Kluyveromyces lactis: one gene and its partners. The protein of the gene in region 3 binds, or shares a complex with, the protein of the main gene of each other region. Links are inferred from orthologs where the notes say so. Each region holds a gene or a part of one and is shown on either strand. Other genes may lie near its edges. The genes, in order: SSU72, YSH1, FIP1, CFT1, SWD2, PAP1 and YTH1.

What was found.
Region 1: FIP1 (region 3) and SSU72 share a complex: the UniProt entries of both Saccharomyces cerevisiae proteins name them as parts of the cleavage and polyadenylation factor (CPF) complex. The link is inferred for Kluyveromyces lactis from reciprocal best matches to the Saccharomyces cerevisiae genes FIP1 and SSU72.
Region 2: FIP1 (region 3) and YSH1 share a complex: the UniProt entries of both Saccharomyces cerevisiae proteins name them as parts of the cleavage and polyadenylation factor (CPF) complex. The link is inferred for Kluyveromyces lactis from reciprocal best matches to the Saccharomyces cerevisiae genes FIP1 and YSH1.
Region 4: FIP1 (region 3) and CFT1 share a complex: the UniProt entries of both Saccharomyces cerevisiae proteins name them as parts of the cleavage and polyadenylation factor (CPF) complex. The link is inferred for Kluyveromyces lactis from reciprocal best matches to the Saccharomyces cerevisiae genes FIP1 and CFT1.
Region 5: FIP1 (region 3) and SWD2 share a complex: the UniProt entries of both Saccharomyces cerevisiae proteins name them as parts of the cleavage and polyadenylation factor (CPF) complex. The link is inferred for Kluyveromyces lactis from reciprocal best matches to the Saccharomyces cerevisiae genes FIP1 and SWD2.
Region 6: the proteins of FIP1 (region 3) and PAP1 are in contact, whole or in part, in a crystal structure (PDB 3C66), measured with the Saccharomyces cerevisiae proteins. The link is inferred for Kluyveromyces lactis from reciprocal best matches to the Saccharomyces cerevisiae genes FIP1 and PAP1. Residues at the interface, in NP_012626.1 of Saccharomyces cerevisiae: Leu81, Glu82, Val83, Ile84, Ile85, Ser86, Leu87, Thr92, Arg93, Leu94, Asp95, Ala96, Lys97, Leu99; in NP_012927.3 of Saccharomyces cerevisiae: Phe360, Leu362, Gln425, Asp426, Tyr428, Phe470, Lys478, Val479, Asp480, Ile481, His482, Cys485, Thr486, Val489, Asn490, His502, Asn506, Leu507, Ala508, Leu509, Arg510, Phe511.
Region 7: FIP1 (region 3) and YTH1 share a complex: the UniProt entries of both Saccharomyces cerevisiae proteins name them as parts of the cleavage and polyadenylation factor (CPF) complex. The link is inferred for Kluyveromyces lactis from reciprocal best matches to the Saccharomyces cerevisiae genes FIP1 and YTH1.

The regions. Positions count from the first base shown.
Region 1 is NC_006040.1:1,644,774-1,647,107, forward strand, and holds SSU72 (RNA polymerase II subunit A C-terminal domain phosphatase), read right to left. Parts: upstream 1,125-2,334; coding exon 501-1,124; downstream 1-500. Other genes in the region: GUD1 (guanine deaminase), read left to right, coding at 1-420; cysteine protease ATG4, read right to left, coding at 1,557-2,334. UniProt on the Saccharomyces cerevisiae protein: Component of the cleavage and polyadenylation factor (CPF) complex, which plays a key role in polyadenylation-dependent pre-mRNA 3'-end formation and cooperates with cleavage factors including the CFIA complex and NAB4/CFIB.
Region 2 is NC_006039.1:419,091-423,103, forward strand, and holds YSH1 (cleavage polyadenylation factor subunit YSH1), read right to left. Parts: upstream 2,796-4,013; coding exon 501-2,795; downstream 1-500. Other genes in the region: KLLA0_C04620g (uncharacterized protein), read right to left, coding at 3,615-4,013. UniProt on the Saccharomyces cerevisiae protein: Component of the cleavage and polyadenylation factor (CPF) complex, which plays a key role in polyadenylation-dependent pre-mRNA 3'-end formation and cooperates with cleavage factors including the CFIA complex and NAB4/CFIB. Has endonuclease activity.
Region 3 is NC_006041.1:534,354-537,142, reverse strand, and holds FIP1 (cleavage polyadenylation factor subunit FIP1), read right to left. Parts: upstream 1,389-2,789; coding exon 501-1,388; downstream 1-500. Other genes in the region: BUD4 (Bud4p), read left to right, coding at 1-287; transcription factor IME1, read right to left, coding at 2,286-2,789. UniProt on the Saccharomyces cerevisiae protein: Polymerase-regulating component of the cleavage and polyadenylation factor (CPF) complex, which plays a key role in polyadenylation-dependent pre-mRNA 3'-end formation and cooperates with cleavage factors including the CFIA complex and NAB4/CFIB.
Region 4 is NC_006039.1:880,506-884,715, forward strand, and holds the start of CFT1 (cleavage/polyadenylation factor CFT1), read right to left. Parts: upstream 2,801-4,210; coding exon 1-2,800. Other genes in the region: PRO1 (glutamate 5-kinase), read left to right, coding at 3,139-4,210. UniProt on the Saccharomyces cerevisiae protein: RNA-binding component of the cleavage and polyadenylation factor (CPF) complex, which plays a key role in polyadenylation-dependent pre-mRNA 3'-end formation and cooperates with cleavage factors including the CFIA complex and NAB4/CFIB.
Region 5 is NC_006041.1:1,606,952-1,609,851, reverse strand, and holds SWD2 (WD-repeat containing protein SWD2), read right to left. Parts: upstream 1,482-2,900; coding exon 501-1,481; downstream 1-500. Other genes in the region: ATP-dependent 5'-3' DNA helicase HCS1, read left to right, coding at 1-519; MCO12 (Mco12p), read left to right, coding at 1,750-1,755, 1,872-2,123; MND2 (Mnd2p), read left to right, coding at 2,442-2,900. UniProt on the Saccharomyces cerevisiae protein: The COMPASS (Set1C) complex specifically mono-, di- and trimethylates histone H3 to form H3K4me1/2/3, which subsequently plays a role in telomere length maintenance and transcription elongation regulation. Involved in mediating RNA polymerase II termination.
Region 6 is NC_006038.1:1,161,642-1,165,271, forward strand, and holds PAP1 (polynucleotide adenylyltransferase PAP1), read right to left. Parts: upstream 2,298-3,630; coding exon 501-2,297; downstream 1-500. UniProt on the Saccharomyces cerevisiae protein: Polymerase component of the cleavage and polyadenylation factor (CPF) complex, which plays a key role in polyadenylation-dependent pre-mRNA 3'-end formation and cooperates with cleavage factors including the CFIA complex and NAB4/CFIB.
Region 7 is NC_006042.1:760,786-763,097, reverse strand, and holds YTH1 (cleavage polyadenylation factor RNA-binding subunit YTH1), read right to left. Parts: upstream 1,134-2,312; coding exon 501-1,133; downstream 1-500. Other genes in the region: FUN14 (Fun14p), read right to left, coding at 1,350-1,856. UniProt on the Saccharomyces cerevisiae protein: RNA-binding component of the cleavage and polyadenylation factor (CPF) complex, which plays a key role in polyadenylation-dependent pre-mRNA 3'-end formation and cooperates with cleavage factors including the CFIA complex and NAB4/CFIB.

The DNA of each region.
Region 1 (2,334 bases), on a different chromosome or scaffold from region 3:
TCTGATGTTTCCGGTGGTTTTACAGTCAGTATTTTGGAAAATGCTAGGCAAGCTTTACTAGTTTCCAGACATCGAGCAATGTCAGTAGAAGATCCTGAAAGAAAAGAGGAATGCAAACTATCTGTCGCCGAAGTATTGTATCTAGCTACCATGGGTGGTGCTAAAGTTTTAAATCTGTCTGATAAAATTGGTAGTTTCGACGTAGGGAAAGAGTTTGACGCACAATTGATAGATTTATCCACCAAAGGAAGCAACGTATCCATTTTTCCATGGCAAAAAGTTACCAACGACAAAATTCAACCGAACGGGAAGGATAGAATCAAACTGGAGAATATTGTGGCAAAATGGTTATTTAATGGTGATGATAGGAATGTTAAAAGTGTTTGGGTCCGTGGAAAATTGTGCCATCAAAATCTTTAACTAATCGTTAGCTTACAATTCCATCGAAATAAGTATGCAAAACAAGAATAGCATGATATATAACTCAAGATGAAATAGAACTAATAATATGCAGCAGAATAAGTTAGTGGTAGTTTTGGATATTTCTCTTGCCATTCAGTGAAGACATCCATTATAAAATCCTCAAATTGAGTTCCGTTTTTCTCACATTCAAAAACTTTATCTCTTAGCATATCTGCCAATCTTAATATTGCTCGCCCACCAATTTTAGCGTTTTCATTATCATCTTTGATATCGATATTGATAATATGTGCAATTAGATTAAGCTGACCACCTCTATTCATCAGGTCCTCGCACACAGAGTCGAAACACCTTTCTTCACAGGTAAAAACGAAATCAAAAACCTTTCTCCCATCGTGCCATTTCTCAGGAGCTTTTTTTAACTTCCTGTTACGATCTAACATTTCTAATACACCATTTTGCTTGTATCTATCTTCACTTTGAGAAATCAAGTCATTATATATATCATCATAAGGCGTACCAAATGAATACACATTTGGTTTATCTATCGAGAGACCTGGAAGTCTAACTGCACTTCCAGTACCGTAACTAGAAACATCATACCCTGCCTCTTCCAATACCCTATGGGACTCCATGGACCTGTTGTTGTTAGATGCACACACAGTACAGAACTTAAGCCCGCTATTTCTCATTGATTCGCTCATGCCTAATAGTTCCTCTTAGATTCGTAATAACTTTTAGTCAAATTATCTATTCTGGTAGCACTAAGCAGACAACACTGTATGAAAATGAGAGTTATAATAATTGAATATGAAATGCAAGTATGGGCTGTCTACCATTTCGGTTACCAATTATGAATATCTTGTAACTTTCATTGAAGCTCTTAACAAAGTCAATTTTATCAATGTGCAGCTAGATAATAATATTACCCGGAAATGCGACGCTTGTAATAATCTTAATAGAATTATAGATTGGTAATTAGTATAAGTTCAAGGTCACTTCCGTTACACCCGATTACCAAAGCCTGTCCTTATTTGTGGCTGAATTAGGTGCTTGACAGCCGAAGGATCCATATTATATAATGATACTAATATTTAATATAATATCTTAAACAAAGAATGAGGAAGATACAGCAGTCAGCAGGAGGATGAATCCTCGACAAGAACTTGTTCAACTTCAGGATCAGCTGGATCTTCGCAGACGATTATTCGCTGGCTTTTGCATTTAACATCTTCAAATTCTTCATCTTTTGGTTGCGGGGAGGACATTTGTTTGCCAGAAACTAATGTTCCAACATCAACGTATTCTCCAGTGTCCTGTATGTCTGACTCCAATGAGTGAATAGAATCAGAACCGACAGACATATTGGCACTTTGATATAAATCATTTTCTGGCCTGGTTGTCAAAAATTGAATAATTTGACTATCTCTGAAATAAGTATGAAACTGATCCCATTCATTCTTACCTGAAATTAACATACCGAGTAACATTGACGGATCTGTTTCTGATATATGCAATTTGTTGAATTTGTGTCCGTGACAACTTCGGTAAAATTCAAGATCATCCATCATTAAAGAAGATTGCTGAGTGTTGTGTGGATCAAGGTAGAAAAGATTTTCATTTTGATATCCAAAAAAGTATAATGATGACGAGGGTTTACCGCCTGCGATCCCGACAGAATATGGTGATGAGAGAATCTTGAATATGTCTTTCCAGTATAAGCTGTTGATTTTGTCAACACCCAACCTGACAGCAAACAGCAGAAGTAAATTAGCATCCCTATCCTTATGAAAAATTCTTGTGACCTCATCTTCGTATATATCTGCCGACTGAGTTGAAATTATACAATTCTTAATTCCACAAAGGGGAAACCCTTCAATCAATGTTTTTATGCTTCTGGCTGTTGCGCTTGGC
Region 2 (4,013 bases), on a different chromosome or scaffold from region 3:
ATAGTTGAGACCCATTTAGCCTGTTTTACAGCTCTTGTACGTTCAGACTCTGGATGAGATGAGATGAGCTTCCCAAAAATTTTCTTGAGGTGCAAAAAGAAACTACACAGGCAAAAGGATTTATGAGTCACGTGATTGAGTTATCTTGTCTCTTCTGGATTGGCAATGTGAATGAAATACCTCACTGTAGCTCTGATTTTGCCATGGTATTGGTAGATTGATTTAAAATTTACTGTTATAATGAGAATATATATATATATATCGCGTTTAGTAGTTTAGTAAATGGTTTTTTGTCCTCTTGGTGTCTTTTGTAACTTGTCGAAAACGATATGTTCATTCAGTTAATTGAAACTTGAATGCATCTTTAAAGTTTTAATAGATTATTTAGTACAGAGGAACACCTTGGCAAGATGGCAGTATAGGGTTGAAAAGTATATAGTTAATGCAAAAAGATGATTAATGACTAGCTCATATATAATCATATCTATATATGAGACAGATTAACACAATGGGGCCACCAAGTCGGAGCCAATTTTTAATAAACTCTCTATTCTACCTTTCAATGGATTAGAGTTACATTCTTCCACAACCATTTTTGAGAAGTTTATACATGCTGTTGTTTTTCCTAAGTTGATAGTGCCTTTTATTTCTTCTTTGGAGTCTTCCTCATTCAAAAATAATGTAAAAGTATCACCAAACTGTTCCTTGAAAACTCTCGATATGTTCTTAATTTTAGTCGTGTGATCATCGTGTCCATGATGATGTCCACATGACTTCGAACTCATTTTGATACTTGCTGGAGCGCTCTCGACACTCAGTAGAATTGCCATGACACTATCCGCGACTGAATCACTGATAACATTCTGAGTCCATTGCAATGTAGCTACATTGTCAACTATATTTAATATTACATCTCCCATGATTTTTATTTCTAGTTCACCCTTCTTTATCTTCCTCGTCTTGAATTCGGGATTGATGTTCTTCAATGAGACGTTTTCTTCGTCAATGTATACATCTACGTCACCAAACATTTGGCAGATATGCCAATATACTAGTTCGCTTTTACAGTCCAAGTGGACTGTCTGTCTTTCTGTCAAAACTGTAGTAGATAATTGTTGATAATGTTCTCTTAAATCTGAAAGCGAAACTAAACTTAGATCAAAATTCTTCTCATCTGACACCAATATACCTGAAACTATTTTCTCATTTTCTTCTTTGACAATTTCCGTTTTACTTTCCTCTGTTTCTGGATCCTCTTCATGGATTTCCGTGATTCTTTTCTCATTCTTTAGTGCGTCTTCTTCAGTTATAAACTCATCGAGATCTTCAATAATTTTCCCAACTGCCCTGGCAACCTTAACATCCTTGAACTCAATATCAACAAAGACACAATTTCTAGGATTGAAAACATGAACCTCGTTTTCAGTATCCTTGAGAGAGCTGAAATTAGAAAGAAGGGCTGATTTTAAACGACCCATTGGGTTGGATTCGCCATGAACTAAAATGATGTTGCTAGCTCCAATTAGCTCGATAAATTCTAAATTTTCCCTAAAGTCAACATGAGCAGCGAATGTTATTTCATCCACTTGGCAACGTCTTGGGATAGTTATCTCAGGGTTGTGTACCGAGGGAATAGCCTCAGGTTCTAGTAACAAATATTTTGCCATTGTACCTTCTACAGAATAACCAGTGACAAGAACCAGATTTTTTTCTTCTGGACACCATTTTTCTAAAATGTCTCTAGATAGACCGTTTTGCAACATACCTGGGGATGCTAACATGACACTGGGACCAAAATCCTCGAATTCATCCAAATTCTTGAGGTAAGAAATATTCTTGAAGATGAATGGATTTGTTTGAGAATCTTTGAATTTTTTACGAATATCGTCATTCATCATATTAACATATGTCTGAAAGACACTCATACATTTCTTAGCAAGATTTGATGCGTAAAAGATAGGTACTTGCCCGTTTCCGAGTTCTTCTTTGTGATTCTGCCAATATTCGTCTAATATAAGCATGATTTCTTGAGCTCTTCCAAGGGCAAACACCGGTAAAAGAACACGTCCTCCCTTAGATACCACGGTATGTATTAACTGGGTCAACTTTCTTTCCCTGTTTTGTCTTGGTTCGTGAGTAGCGGTACCAAATGTACTTTCCACAATTATGACGTCCGAAGACTGAGGTGGTACCTCAGCAGAGTTAAGGTGACGGTCCACTTCTCTTGAATAATCACCAGTAAATAATACACGAACACCAGCGATTTCAATTTGAAACATCGCTGCTCCAAGAACATGACCTGCATGGAACGCTGTAAATTTAATACCATTTACCTCCATAGTGGAATGATAGTCAATAGTTTCTATCCTATCAAAGGACTCAGCCAAGTCCTCATCAGAGTATAAATTATCATTACTTGAATCCTGTCCTGGACTGTCTCCTATGCTGGTCACCTTGACGAAATCATTCAAAAGCCAACGATATATAGCTTTGGTCGGATGTGTCATGAATACTCTACCACGAAAATTCGTTCGTTGCATCACATAAGGCAATGATGCCGCGTGGTCAAGATGAAAATGTGAGATTAAAAGAAGATCGATTGTGGAGAGATCGAATTCATCGTAATAGGGCAATGAAGCTAAACCTTGATGGGCCGGATGGATACCTGCATCTAACATTAGAGTCTTGCCCTTATACTGAAGTATATGACACGATCTCCCCACTTCATTGGATCCTCCTAGTGAGAAAAAGCGAAGATGGTCCTTGTCTGGAACCTCATTTTCCAATTGAGTCATTTCTTGACAATGCAAAGGACAGACAAAATGCTCTCACAAACACGTCAAAAGTTACTGTCTGCTTGAGCCCCCCGATATCTGTTATGAGTGCCCGAATACCAACAGAGGTTGCTCGGTAACCATTGGACAGGACACTCTTCTTTATGTTGAATTGCTAAGATTTTCAATAAACGTTAACTGGTTTTAATGTCTTACAGAAAAAAGTGAGAAAAAAGTGAGAAACTAGGAAATAGCATATTGGTGTACAGAGGGAGTAGAGGTAGATATTGATAACGAAAAGTTAGTAAAGAGAGGGCTGAAGGCAACCTAAGATGATTTGAGAACACATCTTGATAACAAATGTCGTTACGTACTGTTTCTAGTGAGAATCTTGCTGCTTGTCGGGTTCTAACACCTATCTTAAACTGATTGTTTTCCCTTACTATGTAGATGTTGAAATAATAATATGTAGAATTTCTGATCGACAATATATCAGAATGAAACAAAGGGTAAAGGGAACAGGATAGGTCACGTGACTAGATTTATTTACTTGGATCAGGTCACATCTGGCTAAATTACTGCAAGTGTGTTGGTAAAATGGAATGAAACGAATTAAACTGCAGAATGTATGTAAACACAAATTTTTTTGCTAGATATATATTACAACTAAAAACGAGTGAATACTCTTTGAATTAAAAGGAAAGAGTAGAATGAAAACGAAATGTTGTGGAATGACGGAAACATAAGACATTAACACTTAGTATGAAAAATGGTTGTATTTTTTTCTTTAATTACGGGGAATATCCTCTGTAGAGGTGTTCAACGTTTGAATTGAAGGCTTCAAGTGAGGAATCCATAATCGTCGTTAACGGTCCAAAATTCTTCAACGGGAACTGACAACATAGCTTCCAATTGCTGTTGTTGTTGCTGTTGCGGTGGTCTTTGACCTTGCTGATTATCTGGTTGATTGAAGTTCATATTCATGTTGGTAAATGAAGAGTTTCTCCAATTCAGGGAGTTATTCAGAGTGCCAGGATTGTTGTCTCGATTGGGCATGACAAAAGTCTTTTGATCATTTGTTGTCGCTGATGATTGTAAAGATCCGTTTAGGTTGCCCATATTGTTGCCTCCATTCAGTGGATCTACGTAATGATTACTGTTCATCAAATCCAAAACCGAGTCGTTGGTCCATGTGGAGATGTTGTTGATCATCGTATGGGTACCATTATTGAAGATTAT
Region 3 (2,789 bases):
CCAGAAAACCACAAACTTTGTTGAATCTTCTAAACGTAGTAGATATATACTCTGATGGTAAAACGGCAACTGGAAAACAAATGAGAAACTTTACTGATATGGTACTTTTCAGCGATTGCTTCAAACTCCTTTTTGCAAATGATGAAGTTATAAATTTTAACGCTGATTCTAATCTTTTAAAACAACAATGGGTTGAAATTTTGACCAGCGTTGTTGAACTGAATAAATTCCATCAACCATGGATCAAAAGAGTTTTTGAAAACGAACAATACAACATTACTTTTTAAACTGTTATAGTATTCAGATATATAGTTTGTCTTTGCCATTTTTTTTGAAGTATAGTATATTAATGTCATTTCTCTAATTATAACAAATGTCAACATGAGGTCTTTAAAACTAAGCTGTGTTACAATTCCATCAAGGAATCGAAAATACATGTACATGTCCGCTATATATCATTAATGTTGCTTGCAATCAATACGAGCCTCAAGCACTAAATTTCATTTCTTGTCGTTGAGATTATTATTGTTGTTGTTGTTAATGTTGTTCATGTTGTTCATGTTGTTCATGTTGTTCATGTTGTTCATGCTTGATACATTTTGATTTTGCATGTTATTCATCATACCCGGAAATGGAAATCCTGGGAAACCACCAAACATGGGGGGAAGTCCCATAGGCGGAGGAGGAGGTTGGATTGTATTCTGTACAGGTTGTCCTGAACCTGGATCATTTAACTTTCCTTGCTGCTGTAAAGCTAGGAGGTTCATCAAAATCTTTTGTGGGTTGTATTCTTTCGTCAAATGTTCTTGTCTATGTAAATATTCCATCCAAGTCTGTTCATTAAATCCATAATTGAAATAATCTGAAATATTCGCTCCTGGTTGTCTCCAGGGCTTCTCCTTTAGAATTTCTGGATCGATCTGTACTATAGGTTTCCCATCGAATTGTGCATCCGGGTTCAAATCAATAGTTTGTTGTTGCTGCTGCTGCTGTTCAGGTGGTATTGAACCCTCCTGTACAGGAACCACGTCCGATATACCAGCCACTGCTGCAATAGCATGATCCGCTGTACCAAGAGGCGTTGTGTCTGTTATAGCAGATATCTGGGACTTACCAGAATCTATCTTAGAGGTATCGTTACCAGTTCCGATGATAATCTCAACATCTGAATCTGAGTCACTGCTGTCATCCTCATCTGATGAACTATCCTGATTGGAGGCCTCACTCTCTACCTCATTCGTATTACCTTCCGGTACATCATGAGCTAGTATCTTGGGTGTTTCTTCGACCTTTTGTCTTTTCAATGCAGGACCCTCTTGCTTTGCGACTACGTTAGAATCCTCCTCATCGCTGTATAGAAACTTATCGTCTTCATCCTCACTGCTCATAACGATTCGTTTCTATATGTCGTTCGTGGACTGGTAGAAGATTTATCAATAAATGCTTGGAAAGTTTGGAAGGCTGCGCAACCCAAAAGGTATCTTAACAGGAAGATAGTTCTTCTTCTCATATAGAAATCAACTAATAGTTAACTCTCAATGCTAAGATTTACCAAAATGATGCTGTTAAATCGACGCATATCCGGGTAAATTATTGTCGTATTCAATGACAAACATTTCTAATGAATATCTGTCACCGGACAGCGGACAGCGACTCAGCTTGTTTGGACGGAATGTATAATATGGGTTAAATGTGTAGCTAATGAGAATACATGATTTACAGAAGAATTAGATGTGCATGTTGCGGACAGTATCGATTTCCGATGTTAACGAACTTGAAAGAATATGCGATGGTAAGAATTAAAGATATGGAAAAGTAACAAGGGAAACCAAAGAAAAAAGTGCATCTTATTGACGAAGCATAATACTTTGTCCTGTTTTTTCAGAGTAAAAGTGTGAATTAATTAAAAAAATTGACAGAAAACAACAGAGGAAACAAACATTACAGGCGAGTGAGTGTCTTTAATGTGTTGAAAAGAGTCAGACATTGTTGAGAATGAATGTTCAAAAAAGTCGATTGTAAACTGCAATTGAGAAGTGAATGTTCTTTTTTGAAGTGTTTATGGGACCTGTAAGGTTGACTAAACATGGTCACCTTGTGTCCGCACCCACAGAAACAAAGTAAAAAAAAAAATGGAAGGTAATTTGAAATGAAGTAGAGAATTAGAAAGGAATGAATGTAAGAAATATGATGAAGAAGGAAAAAAATATGCAGGTGTATCATACAGGCAGTCTATAGCAAAGGGGGAAAAATAATATCTGGATAAAAGGATGAGGATTGTTCCATCAAAAATACGTCTTGGAGAACTTGTAATCAATTTCTTGGAATCTAATCTTATCGAAATAATCCAAATCGTTAGAATCAGCCAAGAAATACCCAAAATAAGGTAGTAACTTGTTAGTTAGCGTGTAAACAAACTGATCCTTTTCCGAAACGACCGAATCTTTCTTTGAAGATGAAGAGGAGAACATGATGGGTGCCACCAATGCACGTTGCTGTTTTTTCTTCACTGGAGCCATGCACTGCAAGTCATTGTCCAAATCTTGCTCGTCTTCTTCCAGTAACACGTTGATACTTCTTGTAGAAGAGAAAACAGAACTGTGTCTTGTGTCAGCCAGTGAAGGTGGTGTAGAAGAAGAACAAATAATTCTCTGTTCATCTTCTTCTTCAAAACTCGTCTGTAAAAATTTCAAATTGTGAACGTGAATCAAATGGACAGGCTGAGTATGGATCATCGACGGCATATGGATGGACCTTGGCTGTAAATCGTGTCGACTGATAACATGCTT
Region 4 (4,210 bases), on a different chromosome or scaffold from region 3:
TATACCCAGTACTATTTGGTTTGCTTGGATCGTAACCTACAAGGGGCTCACCATCTTCACTTAGAGCTTGATATTCGATGAATTTGGTATAGGAGATGATATACATTCCGGTCCGTTCATGGTACGCAATATTTCCTAAAGTTTCAAATTCCTCAACAACATCTTCAATAATGATTTTTCTAAGAATCTGAGTATTCCCATAATAACATTCAGGATCTAATTTCATTACTCTTGCATTTTTAATATTATCTACGCACATCACAGAGTTTTTACCCCACCTAGCCATTGTGACAATAGGTATATTAGTCATCCGGAATATCCGACATACCGAATTATCTTCTTTGATTATGATATATGGTACTTGACCAGTAATAAATACTACTGAATATCCATTGTAGTTAGGGAAGTAATGAGCAACCCTTTCTATTTTATTAACTCCTTGAGGGTATGCATTGTTAGGAGCACCGGTAATTAGAGGATGGGATTTACATTTTAAGAGTTTACCGCTGTGCTTTGTCGACTTCTTGTACTGATAGATCTCCCCACCAAACGTAAGAATAGTTAGAAATTCTTCTTTCTTATGATGGCCCAATCTGTTTAACATGATTTGCTTTATTGATGGGTCCGGGTTCATTTCTTCAGGAATCTGATACGTACTTATAAAAAGCATGTCTTCTAGCTGATCGACACCATTTAACTGAAATATCCTGTCATTGTGCTTTTCGGTAAAGAAAATAACCTGATTGTCGCCCGTTACAAATGTGAAGAGAAGCTGTTCTTGTGAAGAGTTTTCCAATCCATGTAGGAATTTGTTGCAAATGTTACTCTTGAAAATGGAACCAGATGTGATGATAATTTCATTGAGAGCCTCTGGAAGCTTAAATTTGATGAATTTTTTTTTATTTTTAGAGTCTAGTTGATAAATTTTGATGTTACCTCTAGCATCCGTGAATAGAATATATGGATCAATAATACACGCATGAACAATTTCGATATCAATAGTTAATCTTGCTAACCTCTTAAAGTCAACATCAAATAGATATAATCCTCCTGAAGTTACCTGTAAAATACGTTTATCGTCGTCCATAGTTTCCATGCCGATGGTTCTGCTGTCTTTTCTAAAATCTTGCGCCCTAAAAGGTTCAAAATTTCTATCAATCTGATATACATCACTTTTCTCTTTATCAGCGTCTGTAGTCACAAGATACTTGTCTTTTCCCTTTATTTTCAAATTCCAGATACGGGTCGCACTTGTGAATTTTAAGGCTTGTTCTATGTGGGGCTGGACAGTGGAATGCAATGCAGTGAGGTGAGATCCCCTCCCAACTCCAGATGTAGCTACAATTGAGAATTCATCTTTGTTAGGATTGGGAAGTCTCTGAATAGTTGGTTCAACAGATGCGACCTTACCAATAGTAAGAGATGTTAGAGGACCGATATTGAAAATGGAGTCCAACAATGATATATCGAAAGGCTCTTGTGTTTCGACGATTCTGGTGTGAGTATTATTTTGAGACTCTCCATAAAGTGCACTGTATTCATCGTCATCGTCATCAACAGTTTCAACAAGTTGTCGTTTTGCTGCAAATGCCACTTTCAAGTTTTTAAGTTGCAGAAACATTGCATCACCTGAGAGAAAACCTATAAGAACTCTGCCAGTTTCTAAGTTGAGATCACCACATACCGACAACGGCAATCTTGAATTTTTGAAGATCTCGTTAACAATCGGTACTTGTACACAGTCAAATTTGGTAAGTAGATTACCCTCTGATTCTGTAATAATGTTGTACATCCTGCAGTTTTCATCTATCAAAATAAGCAAATCATGTCTTTTCAAAGCTTTATAGAAATATATTGAACTCTTTGATAGAAAGATATTCATGTCAGAATTATCAGTTATCCTTGTATTGATTGAAGACGTTGCAAATGTGTTCAATCGTATGCACGATTGTAGTGCACCAGATGCACTGATATATAATAATTCATTGACACCAATCAACACATATCCCCTCTTCAGTGGAACCAAGGTGTGCAGGTCGTTCGGAAGATCTGCAAGCTCAGCAATCACGGTGGTTTTTTCATCTTCGACATCTAAACTCAAAACCATGTACCTCATAGTATTTCCAAGTACTTTTTCATTTCCACACCACGCAAGTACCGGTTGATATAATATTCCCACAGTTGGCTTGCTGAAATTATTTAACCATTTTATATCATAGACATGCTTGAGACTCTTGTGAAGGCTAGAAATTGGCATTATTATACTATCGGATGTGATTCCTTGGTTCCTTTTTAAGCGTTTAGCCATTGGCTCTTTTATTCCGTTCTCATCCTCATCAATTTCCATATCTTCTGTGTTCAGTTTCAATGGCAATATAGCTAAAACATCTTCATTAAAAACCAGAAGACATCTAAACAATGGATCCACTGCCATAATGGACTCCGTCTTCAAAGAAGAAGTGCTTAAATTGACAAATTTGTCGTGATAATAATGCAGACTTAGTGTTTCAAGACTCTCTGCCACTGGGTCAAACCTTACCAACGATACTTTGGATTTCGACGAAAGTATTGCAAGCATCTTAAGAGGCGATCCAATTTGGGGCAGTAATTGCATATCTATGATTTTACCTGCTAGTTTCCATTCATATGCAAGTACAAGCTTTTGTGCTCGCGAGACCCTGAATACAGAGAGAACATTGGTTCTTGCAACAACGTATTCTTCCCTTTCCGCTGACGTAAAATTCCCATGTAAGCATTTATTAACCACAGTGGGTTGCAATATCTCGTCAAAAACGTTCATTTATTATCTATCCCCGATATTTAAACGTTTCAGATTCAGGTGTGACTGAAGAGTGCTAGTATGCCCACCTACGCTCGTCTGTTTCCAGTGTTCTTAGTAATGATAGTTACCTATATTTTGAAGAACCGGTGAATATTTAAAAATTCACAGAAACTGAAAGTAAATGTTTCGATGACATCTGCAGACCATTTGAAAAGATGAATAACTGCATCTGCAAAACAGATATAAACATAGTGTACTGTCTGTGAGCAGCAGCTATTAGTCAATCTGGCCTGAAATTTCTGTAACCAAAGGTTTCTACGGACCGCGAGAAGAAGAACGTTTTCCAACAAGTTCAGATGGTAAAGCAGTTCGTCATAGTCATAAAATTGGGATCTTCATCACTAGTTGATGAAGAGACCAAAGAACCAAAACTTTCTATCATGTCATTGATTGTGGAGACTGTGGTAAAGTTACGCAGAAGAGGACACAAAGTTATCATTGTATCTAGTGGAGGTATCGCCGTCGGATTGAAAACGATGAATATGAAGGGAAGGCCAAAGAAACTATCCAAGGTGCAAGCAATCGCAGCTGTGGGCCAAGGCAGATTAATTGGGAGGTGGGATTCCTTGTTCTCTGAATTTGATCAGAGAATTGCTCAAATCCTAATTACTCGAAATGACATTGTTGATTGGACTCAGTATAAGAATGCACAGAATACTATTAGTGAATTACTTTCCATGGGAGTAGTGCCAATCGTTAATGAGAATGACACTTTATCTGTGAGCGAAATCAAATTTGGTGATAATGATACATTATCAGCTATCACAGCAGCGTTGACTGGTGCTGATTATCTATTTTTATTGACAGATGTTGACTGTTTATACACTGATAATCCAAGAGCAAATCCCGATGCAAAACCTATCTTGGTTGTTCCAGATATATCACAAGGATTGCCAGGTGTGAACACAGACGGTGGATCTGGATCAGATGTTGGAACTGGTGGTATGAAGACTAAGCTTATTGCGGCAGAATTAGCAACCAATGCTGGTGTCCATACCATCATTATGAAGAGCGACACTCCAGAAAACATTTCCAAAATTGTTCTCTACATGCAGGAAAGGGACGATGGCGTGAATGAACTTACACAAGATTTGGCTGACCTACAACTCACTGAGATGCAAAGTTTAGTTAATAATCATGTTCCTCTTCATACTAGGTTTATTGCCAATAGTAATCATCATCACTTGAAGAACAGACAATTCTGGATGCTTCATGGACTCGTCAGTCAAGGCGCTGTAATTATAGACATTGGTGCATACGAAGCGTTAACGAGGAAAAACAAAGCTGGTTTGTTACCTGCAGGCGTTATTGAAGTCCAAGGGAGCTTCCATGAACATGAATGTATAGATATAAAATTGGGAGTCAGGG
Region 5 (2,900 bases), about 1.1 Mb from region 3:
TGGTTAGATACTGAGGGAGACGACTTTCCAGAAAGGTCTGATGAAAATGACAACGATGCAGACGATAAGTTCCACCTAGTCTCTTCAAAATACAACGAAAATGAAGCATATTTGGCATTATACCACGTTGAGCAGTTGATAAAGGCTGGTGTTACGGAAGAAAGTATTGGTGTGATCTCCCCGTATAATTCACAAGTATCGCTGTTGAAAAAACTCATCCATGAAAAGCATCAAGCAATTGAGATATCTACCGTAGACGGATTTCAAGGTAGAGAAAAGGAGTGCATCATCCTATCTTTAGTAAGAAGTAACGAGAATTTCGAGGTTGGGTTCTTGAAAGATGAAAGAAGATTAAATGTCGCGATGACCAGACCTAAAAGGCAGCTTTGTGTCATCGGTAACATGGAAATGTTATCGAGATGTCGAGTGCCATTCCTAAATAGATGGGTGCTCTGGGTAGAGTCTGGCTTCGAAGTCATATATCCAGATCCCAGTATAATTCATTCGTTATATACGTAGAAATCTACAGTTTCATCTGCAGTGACAAACATGCTATATTTAGGATTGAATGCAATAGTTCTGGGACATGTATTTGGTGCGGCGTTAATAAATCCTTGAGGTTTGAGCGTCCTACCACTGATGAAGTCTGCGTGGTTCCATATCGCGATCTTCCCAGTGTAATCAGTTCCCAATGTAATGCGTCCATCTGGAGTGAACGTTGCGGATCCAGAATCCATGAACTCTCTCAATGGGAAAGGTTTAGTTCCTGATAATTCAAATAACTGTGTACCATCGAAGGAATCCATGATCAAATGTTTTCCAGCGGACGACGCAAGCAACAAATATTTACCATCGTTTGAAAACTCCAATTTATTCCACTGATCAAAGCTTGGATCCACATTTATAACTAAAAATGGGCCCGCCTTCAAATGTTTTACGTTATATAAACCGACTTCATGGTTCTCAGGGTTACCAATGGCGAACACAAGCCCGCTTGGATCGTAAGCAATGCATGTGGGGACTAAACTTGGTATAAGGGCCTGTGCCTTGGAGCTTCTCAAATCCCAAAGTCTTACCGATTCGTCATACGATGCAGACAAAAAAGTATCATCCAACGGGGACATTTGTATATCGCTCACTAGAGCACCATGGCCCTGGAAATATCTAAGGTATGTGTTTGTTTCAAGATTCAAATGCCTTATGTCAAACGATTTCATAGTGGATGAATAGATACATTCTGATTGCGCATGTGTAAACTTTGCGGAATGACATCCGTATTTTTTAGAAGCGATGGTATTCAAAAACCTGCAACTTACTGCATCATATAGATGCATATTATCACTAGCAGTTGCAGTCAACAAGTACTGGCCATGGTCATCAAATGTCACTGAAGTTATAGGTCCCAATTCTTTATCAGAAACTCTGAAGGACTTCACAGGCTCAAATCGTAGAAGATTGCTCTTGGAAATGCTAACAGTCATATTTCCTTTCTCAGCTAACTTTTAGATAATCACAGAACTGTTGCTAAACCGCTGGTGTCCCGTTGAGCTTCTCTTTTTGTCTCCAAATTGGTAATATTTCTTGATGGTGTTAACAGTTTTATTTAAATTTAAATGTTCCTCGAAATTGTAATGACATCTGTCAAAGAAATCAATAGTGTTAGTCACTTGCAGGTAGAGAAATAGAGCCTTTCTGGTCTTACTCTGGCTTTATAAAGAACTGACATATTTGAGATTTGTAATAAGAATCATGGGTGTACGTACCGTTCATTTTTTTGAAGAAGGTGGTTAGATACACCACCGTTTTCATCAACGGACTTTGATTTACTAACTAAAAGGTAATCTTAACTGCATTTATCAAATTCCAATCAGGTTAAAGATATAGTTCATTACAGTATTGACTTAGCGTTGTTGTCTATGGTATTGGCTGGATTGCGTAGAAGTAACAATTATGTTGTCGCTTATGAAATGTCTGACTTGAAGAATTATATTAAACGGTATCTTGACTGGGGAGAATACTTATTCGATAAGTTGGCTAACATGGCTGAAAGAAGTGCTTATTTTAGGAAACAGACTCCTTTTGACAAGTTCTTGGATCATATGGAAAGAAAGCGTAACCTGTAGTTACACCAATAACGTTTATTCAAACATACATACTAATATATAATATTCAGTTCTTTTTAGTGTCTTCTATCAATTCATATCAAATATAAGATAACTGGAGTGAATGCCATCAAGACGCCGGCGTTTAACTACTGGTAATTGGTGAGTAGTACAGCTCTCCTTATTTTTGTTGATGCTTTTTCTATTTCTTTTAAAATAAAACCTTTAAATCATGATTTACTTGTGTCCTGTTAAACACCACTGTGTCAATGGCAATAACAGACATTAAGAGGCTGTTCACAAAATATTTTTGGAGACAGTAGGCTTTACAAGTAAGATATGGGGCTTGGAGAGTTTATGTATGGCCTTGATGCCTTCAGACAACCTTCTGCACCATCCGATTTCAATAACATTCCTTTGATAAACAATCTACGAAAAGAGCTTCTGCAAAGCAAGACAAGCAGAAAAGGGAAACCGGTGAGTTGGAACATTGATAAAGATACCAAGAGACGGATCAAGCCTGGGAAGAGATTGATTCCTCTTGCGGCGTATACTTGCCATAGTGAGAAACCTTTAATTGCCAATAATGACGGAGATGTGTCTGATTCCAATACCATTAACATTCTAGATAAATCGACACTATTGCTGATAAGATCTCTTGGCTACTCAAGTTTGCGACCTATTGGCATTGATAAAACCCTAAAAGAGATCGAAAAGGAGAAGGGAAGTAAACAGAACAAGCAACAAAATGAACACAATTCAGGGCAAGAACCAATACTTAATGCCTACCAAACTTCC
Region 6 (3,630 bases), on a different chromosome or scaffold from region 3:
ACTTGCCTGTTGAATCAACAGCGGCTGAACCAGATGATACTGTTCGGGTATCGGTAACGTCTTGTTTTCTCGGATTTTATCAGTGTCTAACTGGCTAACCTTCTATCTCTTGTGGTTTTCCTTTGACTCTTTTTGTCCGCATCTGTCAATTATGTATCAAGATAAGGCACATAGCTGACTAAAAATAAGTACCAGTTAAACATATTTGATGATAGAACAAAAATATTCAGATTAGAGATGGTAGGTTTATGCAAAACAATGGGGTATGTGGCGGACAGCTTCACTATTATAGTAATGATCTGTTCTTTTCTGTGATATGAGACGTTTTTTTTTTTTTACTTAGTTTATCTAGTGGGAAAGTTGAGTTTATGTGTCGCGTTCAATGTAGAGAAACTTTTGTTAATGACTGGGGCTAAGGCTTGAGGGGAGACTCACGTTGCCTTGGCCATGATGCATTATGCGAACCCTGAAGAGGTAGTATGAACGGATCGTAAGACTTTCTATGTTGTCGCAGTCATTGGGTCTTCGGTGATAGCATTGGTATTACTGTTTGCTGGGACATTTGATGATGGAGTGGAATTAGCGTCATTTACTGGGGAAGAAGAATTGGTGTTGCCACTGGTAGTAGTAGTAGACTTGCCATTGGACGGATCGGATTTAGGTCTTTTACTCTTTTCACCACTTTTCTCCGGTTTCCTCTTCTTGCTGGATTTCACAGGACGTGTTTCCCCCTCTTGGTAGACTTCATCCGGTAAGTCATGCACTTTCACATACTTGATGATTAAAGAATACGTTTCAGGGTCCTCATAGTCGGGTAATGAGCGACACAAATTGAAAAATTCTTGACATGGAATGTGTATATCAATTTTTTTACTCTCTTCTGTGTTGATGTCAAGTCCAATAAACATCGTGGCTATGTGAACTTGATTAGAGTTTTTGGAGGCTTCATCGTCTTTGTTTGCATCAGTTATTTTTGTAAACTTTTTCAATACACCTTCTGTCTTATGTGTACCGTAGTTGTTCATGATCTCTTTATATTCATCCTCATTATTGTATATATAGCTGGACTCGTATGGTTCAATAAATGGATGCGCCAGATTGATTCCTGGTAAAACTTCTAGTTTTTGGACCAACAATCTGAGCTTACTTTCAACGAATCCACTCCATTTCAAGTGTTGTTCGTCGGAACCCTTTGTTGAGACCATAACCGTTAGGTAGAATTTATACTTGAAGAAGAAATCGTGTTTCTTGAACAAATCTTCCCATGATAGTTCATTAGAGAAAATCTTTTGTGTGACCTCTACACCTCTTTGTAATTCAGATAAGATCACTTTCTTAGTTGACTCACTGATGTTGTGGGTAGCACACATTGAAGGGTACGCTGGTGTAATCACAGGCATCTTGTGGGATCTATCCTGTGCATATATTTTGGGGTTCCACACGCGGACCTGTAAAGGACCATCTTCGATTGGCTTCAATAGGACAGGTTGTGGCCATTTCCAACGTGATAAAATCTGAAAGAATTTTGATATTATTACCGCACTGCATGCATTAGGGTACAATTGGCAGATTCTTACCACAAACATCGCCCATGCGACACCACCGGGGAACCCAAAGACGTTTGCATATACTGCTCTTCTCTTTGCCCATATCTTAATAGCTCTTAATGCAATCTTGAAAGATGTTTTATTAGGCACTAATTCTAAAATTTCATCGGTGACTCTGGTACCGTTCAACGCTCTTAGATCCTTTTCATCAACGTTCCTTAACAAATTCTTATCACTTAAAGTTAAACTTATTGGAACCTGGGGTAAATCTAGTTTAGCAAAGATTAAATCGATGGAGATTCCATTGAATTTGATCTTGATAATTGGGACGAAAGCATCTGGAACTGACGCAATTTCTTCAAGTTCTGGTCTTTCCCTCAACAGAGCATCGAATACGGTAAAGAAATCTTCTCTGGATACATGTTTAGGTACCACAATCAACGTATCAATATCGGAACCTGGACCATGGACCCCTAATCTATAAGAACCAAAGGTAAATACTTTACCACCAGCATCACGAGCCATACCATCGGACATGTTTTTCTTCTTTGAAACCTGATATACAAACTCTTGTGTCAATTTTTGGAAGATTTCTAATACTGCCACTCTCTTCCCAGTTTCTTCCTCCGTTTCGAAAGAGCCTTCTTTCTTAAGCTGTTGAATTAATGAATCGTTTAATGCGTTTTCGGCAGCAGTGGGACCCTCCGTGGAAATCGGGCCCGTTACACCAAAGATCTTTTTCTGGGACATTGTATTGGGATAATATTTGTTTCTGTAATCTGGTATATTTCTATTCCTTGCTCTATCCAGATAATCACTTCCCCCGGTATTTAAAAGGCTGTCCGCGGATTGTCTTCTTGGAATGTAGTTCTGAAACTTCTTTGAGATTGGAGACGATGTTGGTGAGTTAGCCGGTGAATAATAAACGTAATGTAGCCCTGGCTGATTGAAATATTGTTGCTGATGCTGCTGTCTTTGATTATAATGGTGGTGATGTTGCAAATGATGCTGATATGTGTTTCGGCTTGTATTGAGATTTAAATGCCGGTTTCTTTGTCTGGAGGGAGATGATCCTACACTATCAGATTCTGAACTTTTTCCCCCTTCCTCTTCTTCTTCTATTAGCCCTACTGCACCTAGTACTACCTCAGAAGTGATATCACAACCGGAAACCTTGAGCCCTGCAAGATCCGAGCTTATTGAATTCAACTGGTCGCCAATCACCGTCCTTGAATTATCGTAAGTGTCCTTGAAAACCTGTGCGTCTTGTACTGAAGTCGACAACCTGAATGAGTTTTGACTTGCTACGTCTTCCTAGATCAGAAAGAACCGTCAAAAGTACTCCTCACAAGTTAATTCGTGATGAGGATAATCAAATAAGTGTCGGATGTGTATAATCTCCGAGAGTTAATACACCAAAGTTCCAATGCAAAGGCTTTTTTCAGTATTTGTGAGTCTGACACTAACTTCTTTTGTTGTTGTTGTTGTTGGTAACAGGTGACCAATATCAAAAGATGTGCTCGTCACTAATTTGAACTAAAAACGTAACTAGCACAAACTATCCAGTTATATTCAGATAGAGAGAGACTGTGTGTATATGTGTGTAGACAAAAAAATCAGCCAGTTAATATTGTATTGTCTGAGAATTCCGTTTCCCTTTATTTCTTTCCTTTACCAATTCTGTCTCAGGAGTGTCCAGCGAATGAAAGAATTAAGAAGTTCAATTTGAAGGTACTGGCAAGTTTGGACCAAAGGGATATGTAGTGTTGGTTTTAACTTTAGCTTCTCCTGTTCACACACTCAAACCAAATAAAAGGTATAGTAAGTTCAAAAGTTCACACTTTGTTATATTATTTCATTTTGTACTAAATTTTTAAAGCCAGAAAAATTCAAAATCGATTTCAAGACCCAGGAAAAATCAATAATTACGTGAAAGACCCCAATCATAAGAATGAGCGAGCTTGAATTTGCAAATTGTATGTTCAATTTCCTGTAAATCTTATCCAACAATAATTCAATTGGAAGTATATGCATATATATAAACGAAAATCCAGATATGGAAGAATCAAGATATTTGATGATT
Region 7 (2,312 bases), on a different chromosome or scaffold from region 3:
AGGTACCGGTCGACAGCCTTGCTGTGATGCGAGACTGCCATCCCAGTAGCTGGCTAGTGCCAGTTATAGGTGTATTAGAAAACTGACTTCAAGAACTCACGCTGTTGCCTGGTGTACATTCATGCGTCCGCTCTCAGGGTTAATGCTTATCAGTATTGCAAGAAAAAAAAGAAACCGAAAGAAACTGTGGAATGGAGTGTTCTATACTGGGGAATATGTCGACCGCGTGTCCATAAATGAAACTCAGCGAATGATTTTGGCTGAGAGGTCTGATACCTATTGGATAAGCAATTTAAGGTATGTGAGCCTTGGTTCCCTTAATTTTTCAGGTGTGTTGCTTTTGCTGTCGGTTGATAGAATTATCCGGCTGTAACATTGTGTAGTATTATGTTACTTAGTATCTGTATCTGTATCGAATTACGTATGGTGAGCTGAATAGTGAATAGTGACAGCAGCAGTGGCTGAGAACGAACGCACTGATGAAAACTGAAAAAATTCAGTCACGTGACTAGGATGTCACCGTTGATAATGGCATTCAAGCGTCTTTCCCTTTCCTCATCCATCTTTCTTGTATTAATATGCTCGTCTTTCTTGATGCGCAGTTTGCTGTGTTCTGAAGGTACTTTGAATTTGGGATGCGACCAGTCGCAATCTTTACCCAGTGGACAAAACCCTACCAAGTATCTGGGGCAAAGTACCTTTTTGACATGTTTCTTCGTGCATGCAGGTCCCGATGGACAGAACCCCATATTATAATCCTCACATTCTTCTAACTGACTCTTGTGATCTACGTGCAAGTATTGACACTCCGGTGATTGTGTACAGTACCCGTTCTTGGTGAAGAATACACACTCGGGCATCTTTCTTAGGTTATACTCGTGTAAATATTCACATTGATCGTTCTTCTTGCAGAGACCTCGGAGCCAGTGCTTACAAACAATCTTGTTCTGAAATATCGGTAGCACATGCTTGTTTGGACAGCGTGCTCCGTTGGGACAGGATTTTATCCCCTCTCTTGAATTATAGTATTGGCATACCGGTCTATCTGGATCTAACGAGAACGAATATTCTTTCCGTAGAAATGGCTCGAAATTAAACTCGTACTTCGAGGTATCTGGATGAACTATACTCATTAGTTTAAACTCCCTTATCTCCTTGACAACCCAGTCTAATGTAGCCTACCAGTCGTTTATGAAAATGTCTTTGATGATTGGTAATTAATCATGTTACAAGCGAGTTACACACAATAATTATTTTACTAATTCTTAAATATAACGTTATAGGATATTCTGGGTTTTCACATGAGAAAAAGTCACGTGAACTGAATAAGGTAGCGTTCTCGGAACCAATCAGACGTTAAGTGCAGCTAGCACAAATGTCAAGATGAATGAGACTTTGAAGCTGGGTTTGTCCCAGATCAATGTGTTCAAATCAATCCTCTCACGGCCGATGGTCACAACGTATTTGGAAAGAGAACGAGTGCTGTCACTGCTGATAACTCCCCTGTTCTGCAAGAATTGTAACCCAACGAATCCAACCCCGGTGATGAACACGAGAAGACTTGATATCTTACCAAAGATAACACCGAACACTAGACCTAAAATTGACCCGTAGCACATTTGTCTGTAGTTGACTCTTCTTTGCTTCGAACTTATATCAACACGGCTTGGCAATCCAAGCTCTTGTGGTAGATTCGTTCTTTGCTTAACATCAACAATTGAATCGTTCATGATATATGAGCTTGGTTGCATCGAGTGCAACAACGATCCACCACCGACTAATAAACTACCGCTGAATCCAACATAAACACTTCTTCTTAATGGCACGCCAAGGTTTCTTGCTGCTGTTCTGAACATCTTTCCTAATTCTTTACCTATTATGTCGATTGGTCTGTCTTCACTCGAGGATATAAAACACAATTCTGAGTTGAACTAAATGAGACTGATTTCTAACCGAATTTCTTCGTTATCGAAAGATTAAATTATAAACAGTGATTTTGTCTACGAATTGTCGTTTTCTTAACTCAATAGCAATTTGCACGTACTTCTCAATATTTCTTTATATAGCCATACTGACGATGGAGCCTGCGACCCTTTTTTTTCAACCGATGTTGAAATTTAAGAATCATACAAAACCCAACATGCTGAAAAGAATAGGATTTGGGTGACAGTCATTATAAAAAAGAATATATAGAATTGTCAGTTAGAAAGTGATAAGCGGCAAGTTATCAGTCAAGTAGTACCTTTATTACTATTTTATATGTAAATTAAGGCCTCCTATTTGGGTTGGAAATCATTTGTCGTTTACTGATA